Linked DNA regions of Xenopus tropicalis. The protein of the gene in region 2 interacts with the protein of the main gene of each other region in a biochemical or structural test. Links are inferred from orthologs where the notes say so. Each region holds a gene or a part of one and is shown on either strand. Other genes may lie near its edges.

What was found.
Region 1: the proteins of nbr1 (region 2) and map1lc3c form a complex in vitro, tested with the Homo sapiens proteins (2 studies listed by IntAct). The link is inferred for Xenopus tropicalis from reciprocal best matches to the Homo sapiens genes NBR1 and MAP1LC3C.
Region 3: the proteins of nbr1 (region 2) and gabarapl2 form a complex in vitro, tested with the Homo sapiens proteins (2 studies listed by IntAct). The link is inferred for Xenopus tropicalis from reciprocal best matches to the Homo sapiens genes NBR1 and GABARAPL2.
Region 4: the proteins of nbr1 (region 2) and map1lc3a form a complex in vitro, tested with the Homo sapiens proteins (2 studies listed by BioGRID and IntAct). The link is inferred for Xenopus tropicalis from reciprocal best matches to the Homo sapiens genes NBR1 and MAP1LC3A.

Annotation. Positions count from the first base shown.
Region 1 is NC_030681.2:57,424,605-57,428,896, reverse strand, and holds the start of map1lc3c (microtubule-associated proteins 1A/1B light chain 3C), read left to right. Parts: upstream 1-1,492; 5' UTR 1,493-1,511; coding exon 1,512-1,563; intron 1,564-1,641; coding exon 1,642-1,697; intron 1,698-1,884; coding exon 1,885-1,991; intron 1,992-4,292.
Region 2 is NC_030686.2:19,638,802-19,642,365, forward strand, and holds part of nbr1 (next to BRCA1 gene 1 protein), read left to right. Parts: intron 1-389; coding exon 390-509; intron 510-1,014; coding exon 1,015-1,090; intron 1,091-2,077; coding exon 2,078-2,188; intron 2,189-3,246; coding exon 3,247-3,402; intron 3,403-3,564. UniProt on the Homo sapiens protein: Ubiquitin-binding autophagy adapter that participates in different processes including host defense or intracellular homeostasis.
Region 3 is NC_030680.2:64,266,546-64,270,804, reverse strand, and holds the start of gabarapl2 (gamma-aminobutyric acid receptor-associated protein-like 2), read right to left. Parts: upstream 2,814-4,259; 5' UTR 2,805-2,813; coding exon 2,771-2,804; intron 145-2,770; coding exon 89-144; intron 1-88. UniProt on the Homo sapiens protein: Ubiquitin-like modifier involved in intra-Golgi traffic. Modulates intra-Golgi transport through coupling between NSF activity and SNAREs activation. It first stimulates the ATPase activity of NSF which in turn stimulates the association with GOSR1.
Region 4 is NC_030686.2:41,178,436-41,182,781, forward strand, and holds the start of map1lc3a (microtubule-associated proteins 1A/1B light chain 3A), read right to left. Parts: upstream 2,861-4,346; 5' UTR 2,803-2,860; coding exon 2,763-2,802; intron 1-2,762. UniProt on the Homo sapiens protein: Ubiquitin-like modifier involved in formation of autophagosomal vacuoles (autophagosomes). While LC3s are involved in elongation of the phagophore membrane, the GABARAP/GATE-16 subfamily is essential for a later stage in autophagosome maturation.

The DNA.
Region 1 (4,292 bases), on a different chromosome or scaffold from region 2:
TTAAGTAAAAATGAAAGTCTTCTTTGATAGGCAAAGGGTTAACCGAAAAAGATTGCTTTTAAGCTAAATAAAATACCAAATAAAGGAAATGCCTCACTCCCAAACAAAATAATTTCTACCTTAAAGACATATCAACAAAAAATCAATAAGGGTTTTTATGCAGTTTGCAGCCTAGGGGCTCTTTCACATGGGTATTTTGTGCATTTAAGCATACCAACTGCATCAGCTAATTGTATACTGCATTAATTTATAACTACAAATGTACAAAGTGTTTTACACATCGTAAACAAATATAGTGTTATAGTTATCAGGGCTCTTGCACAGAGGTGAAAGGCTGCATGTTGTGTCTCACCTTGGCTTTAAGACCCTGTCAGTACAACCTCTATTGGAATGAATGGGCTCCTCTAACTCATGTGTTCCATTTTGGTGCAAAGCATAAAAAAAAAACACAATTTTTATTACACAGTTGGGATAGGGTCCCTAATACATTGCATTTTATCCTGATTGGCTGTACCCACCTGCATCCAAATCAGTGTTTTAGCACATTGTGTTTTATATAATGCAATAAAATAGAGATATGCATGTTGAACTTAGCAAAAACACACTTCGTTGCATATAAATGCAATAGGTTATGGCGCACAGTATGCATTTTAGACACACACATTCCTATGAGAGCCCTTCATTTTATTTTTCCCTTTGTCTCACTTTTTTTAAATAAATCAAATAGAGCAAATTCCCCACTAAATAAAAAAGCAATCCTAATTTTTGAGAAACAGAAAAAGACCAAATTTACCCACTAGAAGGGTTTTCATGCACCTTCTTAAGCACATACTGCAGATATTTTAGCAGCCCACAAGCAGTAACTTTTCTAGAAGTCTACCTTTTTAAAGGAATTTTAAAAGGAATGTTATTTAGAGTGGCTCTTTGTTATCATACATGTTAAGATTCAACTTTTAAATATGCAGACATAAAAAAACCCATTGTGTATTGTTTTTTAAAATATAAAAAATATAAGTAAATGTTGGCAAGTATTTTTGTAATACCATATAAATACATGCTGGTTTGCTTTGTTAAATGAGAGTGGGTAATTACCCATCTGTTTAATTCATGGCAGCTTTGCAGAACACAATTAAGAAGAAGAAACAACCAAGGCAGAATCACGCTGTGCATGTTTGGCTTAAATACCTGAGCACAATATATTTGTTTTCTTTAGTAGCAGCCTGAAATTAATCTTATTATCTATTAGTCTGATATTTTAAAAAACAGACATTTCTGTTGTTGTTTAACTGATGCTATTTAGAGAATTGTATTTCATGATTCTAACTGCCAGTTAAGTCCCACCCCTTTGTGGCAGTAAATTTGAAACTATATACTACTGCCACACCTATATAAACTGAGCAGCAGAAAGCAATACCATTTTGTTAAGGTTGCTATAACCTCCCCACCCCCCCTCAAAAAAAAACAAAAAACAAAAAAAAGAAACCCTGTAACAATTTTTTTTATTTCAAACTATGCAGTCTAACCAAAAAAACTCTCAGCCTTTTAAGCAGAGAAAGAGTCTGGGTAAATTCCATTATATTGCTTTGTTCTAAATGAAGCATTATCATTATTGCTTAATGAGGAATTATTATTATTTCACAGCATCCAGAAAAGAAGAAGTCATTGGAATAAAGGCAAAATTTCCAACAAAAATCCCGGTAAATAATTATTCTTTTTATTCTGTGTATTTTGTTAATAGGATAATAATAATAGAATAATAGAATGGAAACTGTATCTTTCTCTGCACTAATGATACTCTGAAGAGGGCTATGTCTTTGCAGTTTACATGTATAAAAAAAAAAATATTTACTAAATGTGCTTGACTTCCAGCAATTTTTATTTCAGGTGATTGTTGAAAGATACCGCCGAGAAAAATATCTACCCCTATTAGACAAAACAAAATTTCTTGTTCCCAAGGACCTCTCTATGATGCAGTTTATTAATATTATTAGGTATGTGGCTTTCTTGTTAATTCCTAAGTATGTTTACTGCCAAACATTAGATTGGTTTATTGCTGGTTAAGTAAATAAGTAGAGACTATAAATTGTATGGATTTAGTGAATATATCCAATAATCAACTGTTTGCAATGTCAAAATGTTTGTCTTCTATAATCTGTTATTTGCTGTAAATGAAAGTCAAATTATACATGAGGATTCTGTTATTCTTAAACATGCCATCTATTCTTTTTATAATATAGTTTAATAATATGTGCCCAATTTCACCTGCAGCCAATCTAGAGTTGCCAAATAATTAAATATGCCTAAGATAGGGCTGCATAGATTTGAAAGCAGACATGCAGAAAACATACAAGGCTTTCTTAAGTAAAGTACCAATAACACCAAAAACTAAAAGGGGTTTTGTATGTATTTATATATTGTAAAATTCTGTGTATTTACTTTGAAAGGACAAGAAACCAATTTAACCTGTTAAGACACTCAAAAAAAACAAGGACAAAAAAAAACCGTGTTGGACCTGTTAAAACCACTTTGTAGGGAATAGGACTAAATACATACCTTTAGCCATATTTAATGTGTAAACAAAATGTCATTTGTGGATAAAAATGGTATCCAGTTAAATCAATTAAAGAACCCTACACTCATAAGTTTAATTTATTTGGTTGTTGTCCCCAGGGAGGTGCTTCAAGTCAGTTCCTGGGGGGCCCAATTTAACGGCTGTCAACCAACCACATGTCAGGAGGGGAGATAATGATCCACTCCAAGACTTTTTTGAACCTTATTTCAGGTTCTCATTTAGTGTGAAGAGGAATTCAGCAATAAAAAATAGGACTGGATCGCTATCTCCCTCATGATATGGGTTTGGTTGACCGCTTTGCATTTAGTGAGGAGGTGCCAGGAATTATTATAAATAAGCTAAAATATGTCAAGGAAGGGACTATTAAAGGTGAATTGTGTTATAGGGCAGTGCTGTCCCCCTCTGTGTGGCCCCCCCACCTGTCTGGCTGCTTAGATGGCTTACCTTTGTATAAGCTTTAAATGGTATCAGTACTGAGATTAACTGGCCCCCTGAATGGTTCTCAACTCAGATTCAGGCTGTAATCCCCCTGTATTGTTTAAATATGTAATCCCCTGTGTTGTTCACACCTTTTAATCCTTACATTGTTCACCCCCTGCAGTGTTCACACCTCAGGCTCAGGCTGTAATCACCCCCATTGTTCACCTGTTCACACCTCAGACATTGTAGGTAGTCCCTGAACTATGCTGCCTGTGTGTATGGCACACACAGGCAGCATAGGGCAGGCAGAGTATGGCGCACACACAGGCAGCATAGGGCAGGCAGAGTATGGCACAGACAGGCAGGGTAGGGCAGGCAGAGCATGGCACACACAGGCAGCACAGGGCAGGGAGGGTATGGCACACACAGGCAGCATAGGGCAGGCAGAGTATGGCACACACAGGCAGTGTAGGGCAGGCAGAGTATGGCACACACAGGCAGCACTCTGCCTGCCCTACCCTGCCGGTGTGTGCCATACTCTGCCTGCCCTATGCTGCTTGTGGGAGGTGAACCTGGCAGGGGTTTGTTGTGGGAGTTTGTTTGCAGTTGGAAATAGCCATTAAATGGCCCCTCAGGTGTGTAATTATGTGCTGGGTGCTATCCACAGGGGAGGAGGAGGCATATGGATTTTAATGGTATATCTTAATATGACATAATGTAATTCTTTCACATATGAATGACGGTTGACCAAGCATTTGGGATTTTGCTGTGCTACCACTATTGTGATAAAATAGGTCTGGTTTGATGTGGTTTTAAAAAGGGGAGTGGTCAAAATGGCTTCTATTAGCAGCCCTCCTCCATGTATGCTAGAGCAATTCCGGCCCTCTGCACCGCAGAAGTTGGACAGCACTATTATAGGGCATACATTTACATCTATTATGGCACCAATGTATTGGGGAAAAAGGATGATGTAATTCCAAATTTTTAAAATTGAATTACGATCTCAGCCTGGAAATTATAGGCCCATCTATGTGGCATCTGTAGTGTGCAAGTTAATTTATAGTTTGTTAAAGGGGATGTCGGCCTTTTGCAAAGTTCTACCAGGTGGAACAGATGGAAAAAAATGGAGCAATTTCTTAGGGGAAATAGGGATGCACCAAATCCAGAATTCGGCCTTTTTCAGCAGGATTTGGTTTTGGGCAAATCCACGCTCCAGGCTGAACCAAATCCTTAAAATCATGTGACTTTTTGTCACAAAACTTGGAATTGGAATTTTTTTACACCGGTGGACGGTTCTCTT
Region 2 (3,564 bases):
GTCGATTTTGGGCTTAAATAGGTTATAATTTATAGTAAGGGATTTCCAAGATCTTGCTAGAACTTGTCTTGCAGCCAGAAATATCTAGTTAATTTATCTCCTTTGTGTATTTGTCAGCCCTTGAGCTGGTGCTCCCATTAATGCGACATATGGGTCTCTTCACAGGTTAACGTTTAGGACTGCAAAGTTATATTCCCAAATCCAATATCTAGTTGCTTGTGGACAGGTCCACCATATATGGGCCATAGTCCCTGAGGGTATAATTATTTTTTATAATAATTTTGAACTACATTCCAACTATACTTTTTTTACATTGTAATTTCTAAAATAATCACAGACCTTATTAAATATTGACCTTTAATAGGATGCAACCCACTGTATTTACTCAGCAACAGAATGGATACTTGCTGATCCAAGACGTGGCCAGGGCCCCCACTCCTGAGCCAATCAGGAATATGAACTGTGACAGACAGCTGTACATTCCATCTGTGGATCTTCTTACTGCTCAGGTAAAAAACTGTCCCTTCTTGGTGGGGTTGGAGGCAATGGTATTAATTTCACCTAGTTATAACCAGTTTTCTTCTTACTTTCACCTTTTATTCTTACAGTTTATAAAGGTGCAGAGTTTACAAAACACACTTTTGGCTCACCTAATTAAATATTTACTCAGTCACACTTTAGTTCACATTTTCTATCTGTTTTCTTGAACAGGCAGCCATCTTTAAAAAGGTATTCTCCCTTCCTTTCCCTCCTTGCTTCATACTGCACATGTGTTTCATTCCCTCCCCCCCCCCCCCCCCAGCCTACAGGAAGGGGTGAGAGATTTCAGTGATGTCACTGTAGTCTTCACACTGCTGTAGGCTGCCAGCACCATATCTCAGAGAAGCAAGCAGATATCTGGGAATTTAGATATGCAGTAAATACTTAAAAAGAATGCCTTTAGACTTACTTTTAATTTATATTAATTTTTCCTTGTCCTTTAAGGGATGAGTTCACCTTTATTCTTTTGTTTAGGATTTGCTTTCATTTGAGTTGCTGGATATAAACATTGTCCAAGAACTGGAACATGTTCCTCATAATACTCCCATTGGTGAGTGCACTTTAAAGACTTTGTATGTATTAAGAGTAGAAGTAAACAAAAACACAGTGGCATGGTGGTGGTGGGAGGTAGGCTAATAGCTTGCAACAGGTATGTCTCATCCGGGTTTACAAAAGTGTGGCCCGTATTCCACAACAATGGCAAAAGAGCTGCAGTTTGCTTTTGCCTGATCTTAAGCAGCAGCGTGCATACAGGACTTAGAGGGCAGCTTAAATCCAAGGGCACTAAGAAGTATTCAAAAGTACAAAACTTGTCTCAGCATAAATTGCACCATCTTCACCTAATCTGGCAAATGCCAGAGGGGCTGCTATAAGATTCCATAGACAGTTGCTATTTATTGGGCCTGTGGTGGTAGCCTCAGTGTAGTTTAAAATGCCAGGTCTTGACTGGGATTCAAAATAGGCCCTGGCATTCCAAGTACAAAGATGCCCAAACAGCTCCCATCTGACAGCAGCCCCTCTAGCATTTGCTAAAATCCACAGATTGGTAGTCTGTGCCTGGTAAAAAAAAATCTTCCTTTCTTCCAATTTCAGAAATTTCCTTCCTTCCACTTTCAGCCATAAATTCTTTGGAAGGATATGAGAGATTATTATGTGGTCTGTTTAAATATTTATCATATCTCACCCCCCCAACAAGCCATTGTTGTTTAGCTTAATGGATGCATATTGGAAATAAGATATCCTTTCATTATGCAAAGGCAGTATTTGGATTCCAGTAGAACTAATATTATCTCGCTTCATGTTTTCTTGCAGCTAGTATGTATGCACCTGAATAGAAGAGAATATTTTCTGGTTGTAATGGTTGTTGTCAATCATACACAGAAACAGACACATTATTTGTATGGTTTTGGTTATTAGCATGCTCACCATTATACCAACAATGTTTTAATGATGGAACAACTCTGAACTTCTTTAGGTCTTTAAACTTGCTTTTATAAGCCTTTAATATCTTATATACTGATCCAGTTTTTCTTTCTAGATATGACTCCGTGCATGTCTCCTCTGACACACGATGGACCATTAATTGAGAATACAGGTTTGGGACAAACAGTTGAAGAGAGTAAAATGACTTTGCAAAAGACAGATAATAGTAAGGCCTTGCATATAACTGAGACAATATATAAATATATGTTGATATATGTTGATGATATGATCATGTGGCCACTGGAGCTCTTCACCAAAGGTTGGTTGTGGCCACAGGAAAGATTTTCCTGTGAACAAATGTATTGGATAATAAATGTATATATAATGAATTTATGTGATATCGGTTTAGTAGCATAGTTTTTCCATGAGTGGGCCAAAACTGCTTATCTGTTTGCAGTGATGCTGAGTTACACACTCAGTGATGCAGTGGTTAGTATTGCTGCCTTGCTAGGTTCTATTCCAGCTAAGGCACAGGCTTATTTATAAAGGCTGGGCAGATTTGCATCTGGGCGGTAACCCATGGCAACAAAAAGTTTACTTTTATTGTTCAACCTGCAGCTGCCTAAAAAGAAGCCATTCACTGATAAGTTACTATAAGTTACTGCCCTTGTGCAAATTTGCTGAGTCTTTATAAATGAGCCCCATCTCCAACATTTTGGTATTGGTGCCCTCTGAAGACACAGGCCCTTTTTTTTTTTTCACTCAGGTGAGTTTATTAAAGGGTGAACATAGAAAAATCATACATTTGGTTTAGCATTGATACATGAAAAAGATGGTACATAGCTTGGTAACAGAGTAAATTGCGAGGGTATAGGATCAATGTTTCCAGAATAACAGACATATTAAGTACAGTTTTGTATGGTTTTTACAGTAGCCTATTTTACTGTACATTTTTAGCGTGGTCATTCACTTATAGCTATATTCCACTTATTCCATACTTTTTCATATTTTTTGTGATTTCCATTTCTTTTGTATGCGGCCTTTTCTATTTTATTCAAATCCTCAACTAACTCATGCCATTGGTCATATGTTGGAGGGTCAGGGCATTTCCAGAGCCTGGTGACCCATTTCCTAGCTATAAATACAACGTAGTACTTTTTGTAGGTACTGTATGTCTGTGCTGGGTAGTTTCAGTGATGTAGTGATGCCCAGCAGACAGACATATGTGATAATGTAGTCTATAGAAACATCAATGTGTGTTTTATATGGCTCCTTTTTTTTCAGGACTAAGTAAGTTTCTCGATAACAAAGAAAACACTGCGGCACAGGATGAAGAAGAAATCAGCGGAACCCAGTTTGTGTGTGAAACAGTAATACGCAGTCTCACGCTAGATGCAGCCCCGGATTACAACCTACCTCAAAGGAAGCCCTCGCCCCACAGTGGGTTCCATGTTGATACAATACTGTAAAGGTCATAGAGGCCTGATGGTGGGAGATAGGCATCCCTTGGGTTTCTGGATATAGGATCTCATACTCAGTGAAACCTGCATCTCATATTCTTTTTCAAAAAGTAATAGGATCTGAATAATGTGGGTCATATTA
Region 3 (4,259 bases), on a different chromosome or scaffold from region 2:
GTGTGTCACTGTTTGTAGCTTTCATAACAACAATTACAGTCTGAATAGGTAATCATTCAAAAAAGAAAAGCAAAATAAAAGAGGTTACCGGAACCCGATCTGGATACTTGGCTCTGATTTTTGCGGACTCCACACACCTGTGTTCTGAAATAGGAAAATTTAGGAATGTTATTTTAAAAAAAAGTATTTGTGCTTATAGTATTCAGTATCATTTTCACTTTGTTTACTTCCTTACCGTCAACAGCAGCCCATTCATGTCTTATGAGTAATATATCTATATAATGAGCTACTTGTTTTTGTACTATTTATAGCTGGCTACGAACGGGCTTCAGGGCCTTCTGTATGCAGGAAATCAACATGCAGATCATGTGGTGGGCGACATTTACAGCAAAGATACCTATTTCTAGCCAGGAACATATACCGGTAGTTCACTGACACTCAGCTCTCCACACTGACATGTTTCATTCTTGATTGGGACATTAATGTGTTGTTCATTAATATTACAGGAAAATACTGTAAATTGGTGTTAACTACAGTAAAGTTATGGGATCCGTTACCCTCAAACTCATTCTTTAGAAAGTACCAAATTACGGTAATCTCCTTTAGACTCTATTTAAAGGACATGCAAAGCCTACATTTGCCTACAATGTACATCAGTTGGGCACGTCTCCCCCACCCAAATGGCATTATTTGTACAGCATGTATCCCCTCCACTTGCCAGCACCATCACATTTTCCTAAAGCAAACAGCAGTTTTCACCCGGTGGCCATTTTTCCTCTGATACATAATGAGTTACATTTAAATCTGCAAACAGCAGACACAGACCCTTATTCAGCATACATTTCATCAAGAATACAGGTTCTGATAAAAGTTCTGCTTTGTTTGAGCACTGTAATGGTAAAGCTGAGCTCAGGAGAAAAAAACTGAAGCAGCCAGCTAGAGCTGAGTTTCTATGGGAACCAGCAATGCCATCTCTTCACTGGTTGCTAGACTGGAGGGCATGTTTAGTAATCTGAGTTTAGAACAACTGAGCATGCCCACAAGCCAGAAATTAAAGCAAATTCCTGAGGGAGGGGGCTGAGTGGATTACAGGAGGAGAAGGAAATATAAGTGTTTATGGAGATGTTGCAGCCTTACTATTAACCTCTGGACAACCAGAGTGGCAGGTATTGAAAGATTTCAAAGAGGCTGTTTGTGCGGGGTTTACATGTCCTTTAAGGCAAATAATTTATTTTTTAAAAACGATTTCTATTTTCCCTGCGATAATAAAACAGTACCTTGTACTTGATCCCAACTAAAGATGTTCTATTGGTTAAAATAAAATTGGATTTTTTCTTTACAAGTGGCAGGTGTGCTTGCTGTTTCTGCTTATCCTTGCACTTCCCCTACAGCTATGGGTTGGGAATAATGCAACCAGGCCACTCAAAAATAACTGCGAGTGCACTCTATTCCTAAATTATTTGAAATTAATTTGTATCGGCTGGCCTGTGAGATTGGGACCTGGGGTTTATATACACGGGACAATCACTTCATCAGGTAATCTGATTCCCATGTCTAGCCCAGGGTTGTACACATCCAGGCTATGGAATATTCATGGTCAGCACTTATTAGTTTATTTTGAGAACTGAGCCGCACTTAGATTGATTGCTTGATCCCAACATATCATATTGGGTTTATTTCATATTTAAAAGATTTTTTAGTTGACTTTAGGTATTAAGATCCAAATAACAGAAAGACCCCTTTTCCAGAAAACCCCCAGTCACAAGCATTCTGGATAATAGGCTCAACACATGTATGGGTTCTTGCTATGCTAAACACAAATGGTGCACAAAGATAAAAACAAACCAATCCTCAAGTCCTTTATGGAAAAACTTTTTCATATTTTGTTTTTTTAAGACAGGCCTTTGCAAGGACACTATAGGTATTCTTTGGTGTTCCACAAGTAAAATAAAAAGAATACATTTTTCTTTATTCCCCCCAACAGCTGAGCTGGTAAAGCAAAGCTGGAAGTAGTTGTGTAATTTAGTACCAATGGTTGTAAAAAAAAACAATATAGAGTAGAAAGGGATGTGTGGTCAGGAAAGTTAAAAGCAAAAACAAGCATATGAGTGACAAGGTGGAGCAAACATACCATAACCTTTGGTAAGCAGTTAGGTATTTGTTGTTAAATATTACACATAGGATATATACTGATAAACATTACTGAATATAGCTGCACCCATTTGGTGACCATATAAAATAGTGTAGAGGCAATTTTGCTGTTTTTTGTTCAAACTGACCTAACCACCATTTCAATGCAATTACTGCCACTTGGACCTATTTACAATCTGATGTCTCATGACAAGAGTTTTACAAAAACTGCAGCATTTGGAGCTCAAAGCACAATTCCATGGGCTCTAGGGAATGTTATTATAGATGTGACTGAGAAACTGAAGTTGATGAGATCACGGTTGATTAATGAGAAAAAAAGGGCCAGGGTTTATATGTTTTTATCTTTCAGAGAGATAAACACACTAATGGTAAAATAAGGTTAGAGGACAAAGCCTGGGAGGGTACAGTCAGTACCAACAAACAAACTGCGGGGGATGGGAATAGTCGCTACTAGATGGAAGGGCAGCGCTACGAGGTGTAGCCTGTGCCTATAGGGCGGGGGCGATGAAGGTGGGCTAGCAGCGACCGCTTTAGAGTATACAGAGGTAACTTCAGGTAGTGTTGCCAGATTAGTACAGTAAAGGTAATGGGCTACCCCCCGAACTTTCCCCGTTCTCACCCAGCGAATGGTCTTCCTTGAACATCCACTTCATGGTACCGACAGATGACAGCGACGACAATAACAATAAGGCGGAGTCTCCCGATGACGACACTTCCGGGTCAGGGCGCCCTGGGGTTTCCAGTACCTCCCATTATGGTTAATAATAAGCACATGGGAGGGGTTTCGTCGGCTAAAACAGGAGCAAAACAAAAACGTATTTTCCGTGGGGTTATAGGGGTTAAGCTGATGCTGAACTGTAGTGATCAGTCGCACAGTAATGTTTAGCAGCAATCAGCTTATTCTTCGTGAAAAATATCATAGCGACTTAACCCTAGAGGTTCCTCTGGTTATTTTGAATGCGAAATATTTGTGTATGAAAGTCATCTCCTATTTATCCTCCACAGAGATGACAACTAACCCTGTGTAAATGGGGTAATAATGTTGCAATCATGAATGTTTCTTGTTTTTATTTTTTTTTGTTAACCAAGCATTGGAGCAAGGGAACTTTGGAACTTGAGTGGGCATTTACTAAACGTTTCTGAGATTTATTATGTGACAAAACTGACAATTCCAAATGTGAAAAACACTCCTGCTAAAACCTTTCAATATACAGAAGTCAGTGGCAGATGTTCCTTTTACAACTGAAAGATCTTGCTTTGCTTCCTGGTTTTTGGGGGGTTTTGTCACTGATATTTTTGTAACAAGTCAAAAAAGTTGCGGTTATTATGCGAAAAGTCAAAAAAGCTGTGGTTTTTGCGACTTTTTCCAGTTCAGATCTTTTTATAAATGACAGGAAATGAGTTTATTCATGGTTTCTTTAAAATAAAAATAAATGTTTTAGTAACCACCCCTTAGATGACACTGTCATTTATATATACTTGCTTGTTTATTTTCGATGTAAGTCGGTTTGCCTGACGCAAAAGAAAGATAGAGAGCGCACACCTGAATAAGTATTATGATAAGGTGACCAGATTTTGAAAATGAAATCCGGGGTTAACGTAATACAAAATTTTTGTTTTGTGCCACACCCACTTAATGTCACGCCCACAAATGTCAGCCTCTGTATAGTTCCTCAGCTGCACTATAAATGTATGTGTAACCCCTATTTGGCTGTAAAAACAGGCAGCGCCGGCTAGAATGGCTTTAGATCATGGTGTACATAGGGCCCTACACGTCAGATGGGCTTTTGCTAAGTGGAAATATCCTTGGATATAACTGTAACTCACTTATGTTGTTTTCAAAGTAATTGGAAAGAATGGACACCAGAAGGTTCTTGCTAATGAAACAAACAGTAACTGATTTATTTGTCCTAGACAATTAGCTCACAGGGTCATAGATCATACTCACATTGAGGAAATAGCAGTACCACACTCTGAGGACAGCAAGAGAGGATGCCCACCAGTTTATCCCACCTCTAATGAGTCTTGGCAGGATAAAGACACCTGGCAGCACGGCACCCAGGGCACCCCCCCCGAGTGCGCATGCGTGCGTGACCAGCGGTAGTGTG
Region 4 (4,346 bases), about 22 Mb from region 2:
CAAGCCAAGCCTGTCCTGTTACCTGCTGTACTGGCTATAAATGTAGCCCTGTCTGAGCCTGTCCTGATTACTTGCTTTATCAGCAGTCCTTGTACATTAAGTAATACAAACAGAATTGTTATACCTGTCCTGTTTATTTGCAGTCAGGCCATTGGCACATTAAATGGTAACTCAGGTCTGTTCTAGCCATTTTTGATAAATCCACAGCCAGCCTAGACTTAGCCTGTCCTGATATCAGCAGTTTGGTCACTGTACATTATACAGAAACACGGACGGGGCTGCCTGAGCCTGTCCTGATATCAGCAGTCTGGTCACTGTACATTAAACACAAACACTGGGCTGCCTGAGCCTGTCCTGATATCAGATGTCTGGTCACTGTACATTAAACATAAACACTGGGCTGCCTGAGCCTGTCCTGATATCAGATGTCTGGTCACTGTACATTAAACACAAACACTGGGCTGCCTGAGCCTGTCCTGATATCAGATGTCTGGTCACTGTACATTAAACACAAACACTGGGCTGCCTGAGCCTGTCCTGATATCAGCAGTCTGGTCACTGTACATTAAACATAAACACTGGGCTGCCTGAGCCTGTCCTGATATCAGGAGTCTGGTCACTGTACATTAAACACAAACACTGGGCTGCCTGAGCCTGTCCTGATATCAGCAGTCTGGTCACTGTACATTAAACATAAACACTGGGCTGCCTGAGCCTGTCCTGATATCAGGAGTCTGGTCACTGTACATTAAACATAAACACTGGGCTGCCTGAGCCTGTCCTGATATCAGGAGTCTGGTCACTGTACATTAAACATAAACACTGGGCTGCCTGAGCCTGTCCTGATATCAGGAGTCTGGTCACTGTACATTAAACATAAACACTGGGCTGCCTGAGCCTGTCCTGATATCAGGAGTCTGGTCACTGTACATTAAACATAAACACTGGGCTGCCTGAGCCTGTCCTGATATCAGGAGTCTGGTCACTGTACATTAAACATAAACACTGGGCTGCCTGAGCCTGTCCTGATATCAGGAGTCTGGTCACTGTACATTAAACACAAACACTGGGCTGCCTGAGCCTGTCCTGATATCAGCAGTCTGGTCACTGTACATTAAACATAAACACTGGGCTGCCTGAGCCTGTCCTGATATCAGCAGTCTGGTCACTGTACATTAAACACAAACACTGGGCTGCCTGAGCCTGTCCTGATATCAGGAGTCTGGTCACTGTACATTAAACACAAACACTGGGCTGCTTGTGCCTGTCCTGATATCAGGAGTCTGGTCACTGTACATTAAACATAAACACTGGGCTGCCTGAGCCTGTCCTGATATCAGGAGTCTGGTCACTGTACATTAAACACAAACACTGGGCTGCCTGAGCCTGTCCTGATATCAGGAGTCTGGTCACTGTACATTAAACACAAACACTGGGCTGCCTGAGCCTGTCCTGATATCAGGAGTCTGGTCACTGTACATTAAACACAAACACTGGGCTGCTTGTGCCTGTCCTGATATCAGGAGTCTGGTCACTGTACATTAAACACAAACACTGGGCTGCTTGTGCCTGTCCTGATATCAGGAGTCTGGTCACTGTACATTAAACACAAACACTGGGCTGCCTGAGCCTGTCCTGATATCAGCAGTCTGGTCACTGTACATTAAACACAAACACTGGGCTGCCTGAGCCTGTCCTGATATTAGATGTCTGGTCACTGTACATTAAACACAAACACTGGGCTGCCTGAGCCTGTCCTGATATCAGCAGTCTGGTCACTGTACATTAAACATAAACACTGGGCTGCCTGAGCCTGTCCTGATATCAGGAGTCTGGTCACTGTACATTAAACATAAACACTGGGCTGCCTGAGCCTGTCCTGATATCAGGAGTCTGGTCACTGTACATTAAACACAAACACTGGGCTGCCTGAGCCTGTCCTGATATCAGGAGTCTGGTCACTGTACATTAAACAGGAACAAGGGGCTGCCTGAGCCTGTCCTGATAATCATCAGCAATAATGAGATTATGTCCAACTAATAATAATAATAATAATAACAATAATATGTGCACCCCCTTTCCTACAGAACCCCTGCCCTGTTTGAGCCTGTCCCAATAAACTGCAGTCCCACCACTCACATTACAATATACGGGGCATTGCCTGTGGCACAGAGAGGGTGCCCCCCTTTCCTACAGAACCCCTGCCCTGTCTGGCCTGTCCCAATAAACTGCAGTCCCACCACTCACATTACAATATACAGGGCATGGCCTGTGGCACAGAGAGGGTGCCCCCCTTTCCTACAGAACCCCTGTCCTGTCTGGCCTGTCCCGATACTGAGACTGCTGCTAAGCAATGTGCCATACCCACAGCAAATGCTGATGAACAGGACAGGCCCGGGCAGAAGGAAAGCTGCCAGTTGTTGTTGAGGAAGGAGACTGGGATGTGCCAGATGGAAACATGTCCCGATAATGTGCAGGCAAAGCCAGTCAGTGAGCGGCAGGTGGGACAAAGCCCTATTGGGGGGAGGAGGGTACAATCCCCGCAGCCCCTAAACCTGTCCCGTTATTATGGGGCACTTTGGGCAAACACTACACTGGCTCCCCCGGTCTGGTGGCGACTGGCAGCCATAGCCACATTAGGATCGCAGCTGATCAGGACCGGTTTAACCCCCCCTGTTCCTTAGGGGCGCCTCCTCAGTGCCAGTATGGCCCCCAAGCCCCGCGGTGCCACCCTCACCCCCCCACAGTGGGCAAACACTCACCGAAGGTTCTCCTGTGCTTAAAGGGCCGCTCTGACGGCATCCTGAGGGGTGTGAGTCCCAGAAGCTAGCACTCAGCCCGACTCGCCCAGTCTCTCTCTGCCTTTGGCTTCTGTTCGCCCCTTTGTGCGTCTCTCCCCACTCTCGGCTGGCTCTGTGCGGATACAATGTAACAACATGACGTCACGGAGGCGCTCAGGCTCATATATGAGCAAAGGGTGCCCCCTGCTGGCCATTCTGCGTAACAGCACCCTGGCGCTTAAACGCCTATGTTACGGCTCCCTCCCTGCATTCTCCGCTCTGTTCCATACTAGGGGCAGCCACACTTACACTCAGTACTATACATTACACTCAGTACTATATAGCGTCTCATTAATAGCAAGAATATAACTACATAGCGCAATACAGGATAGTACATCGCATTGCCCACTCTCTTATTGGGTCATTATACTTTTAGCGCCCGTCGCCTCGTTAGCGCAGTAGGTAGCGCGTCAGTCTCATAATCTGAAGGTCGTGAGTTCGATCCTCACACGGGGCACAGTGTTTTCCTTCCAATCCAGTTGAAATAGCACTGGGTACGTTTCTAAAACGGTAAAATAAATTTTATGCCAAACAAGAGGCTTTCAGTGTATTCAGTAGGATGTTTATTAATGTGCCCCTGCAGCAGTTATACAGGGATGTAAATCCAATATAATATACTCCCATTGCCTTGGAATTGTATGGGCAGAAACAGTGGCATAGCTAAAAGTTACTAGCCATCAAAAAAAGCATTATATTATACATAGTTACATAGGGTTGAAAAAAGACCAGAGTCCATCAAGTTCAACCCTTCCAAGTAAACCCAGCACCCACAACCTATACTTACCAATCTATACACTCACATACATAAACTATATATACAACCAGTAATACTAACTGTAGATATTAGTATCACAATAGCCATGGATATTCTGATTGATCAAGAACTCATCCAGGCCCCTCTTATAGGCATTAACAGAGTCTGCCATTACCCCATCACTAGGAAGGGCATTCCCCAACCTCACTGCCCTCCCCGTGAAAAACCCCCTACACTGCTTCAAATGGAAGCTCTGTTCCTCTAATCTAAAGGGGGGGCCTCTGGTGTGTTGATTATGGCCCCCGTATACTTAATGCAGAGCTGAAACTAGGGATAGTGATCTATGGGGTAGGGAGAGACCGAAGGGCAGGGGGAGCAAGCAGGGGGGTAGTGGGCAGCCCAGGGTAGGCTGTGGACCAATGACAAATGTGGGGGATTGAAGTTGAATGGGGCAATCGCGGCACTGGGTTAAGTAATATTGCCTTGGGTGCCACTACTTCTTCGGTAGGGTCTGACTTTGGGTATAAGACATTTTTCATAAACATATATCGTCTGCAAATCAGTCAGTGCCCCACTAGGCCCCTATTCCTCTTGGGCCGTGGGCAGTTGCAAGGTTTGCTTCTTCTACAGGAACATTCCTGGGCCAAAAGCAGTGCAGGTCTAATAAAAATGTCTGCAAAGCACACAAGGGGTGCACAGGCCTGAAACCTGCAGGTTGGGTGGGTTTAGTTCAGTAACTGTACTTCTTGAGT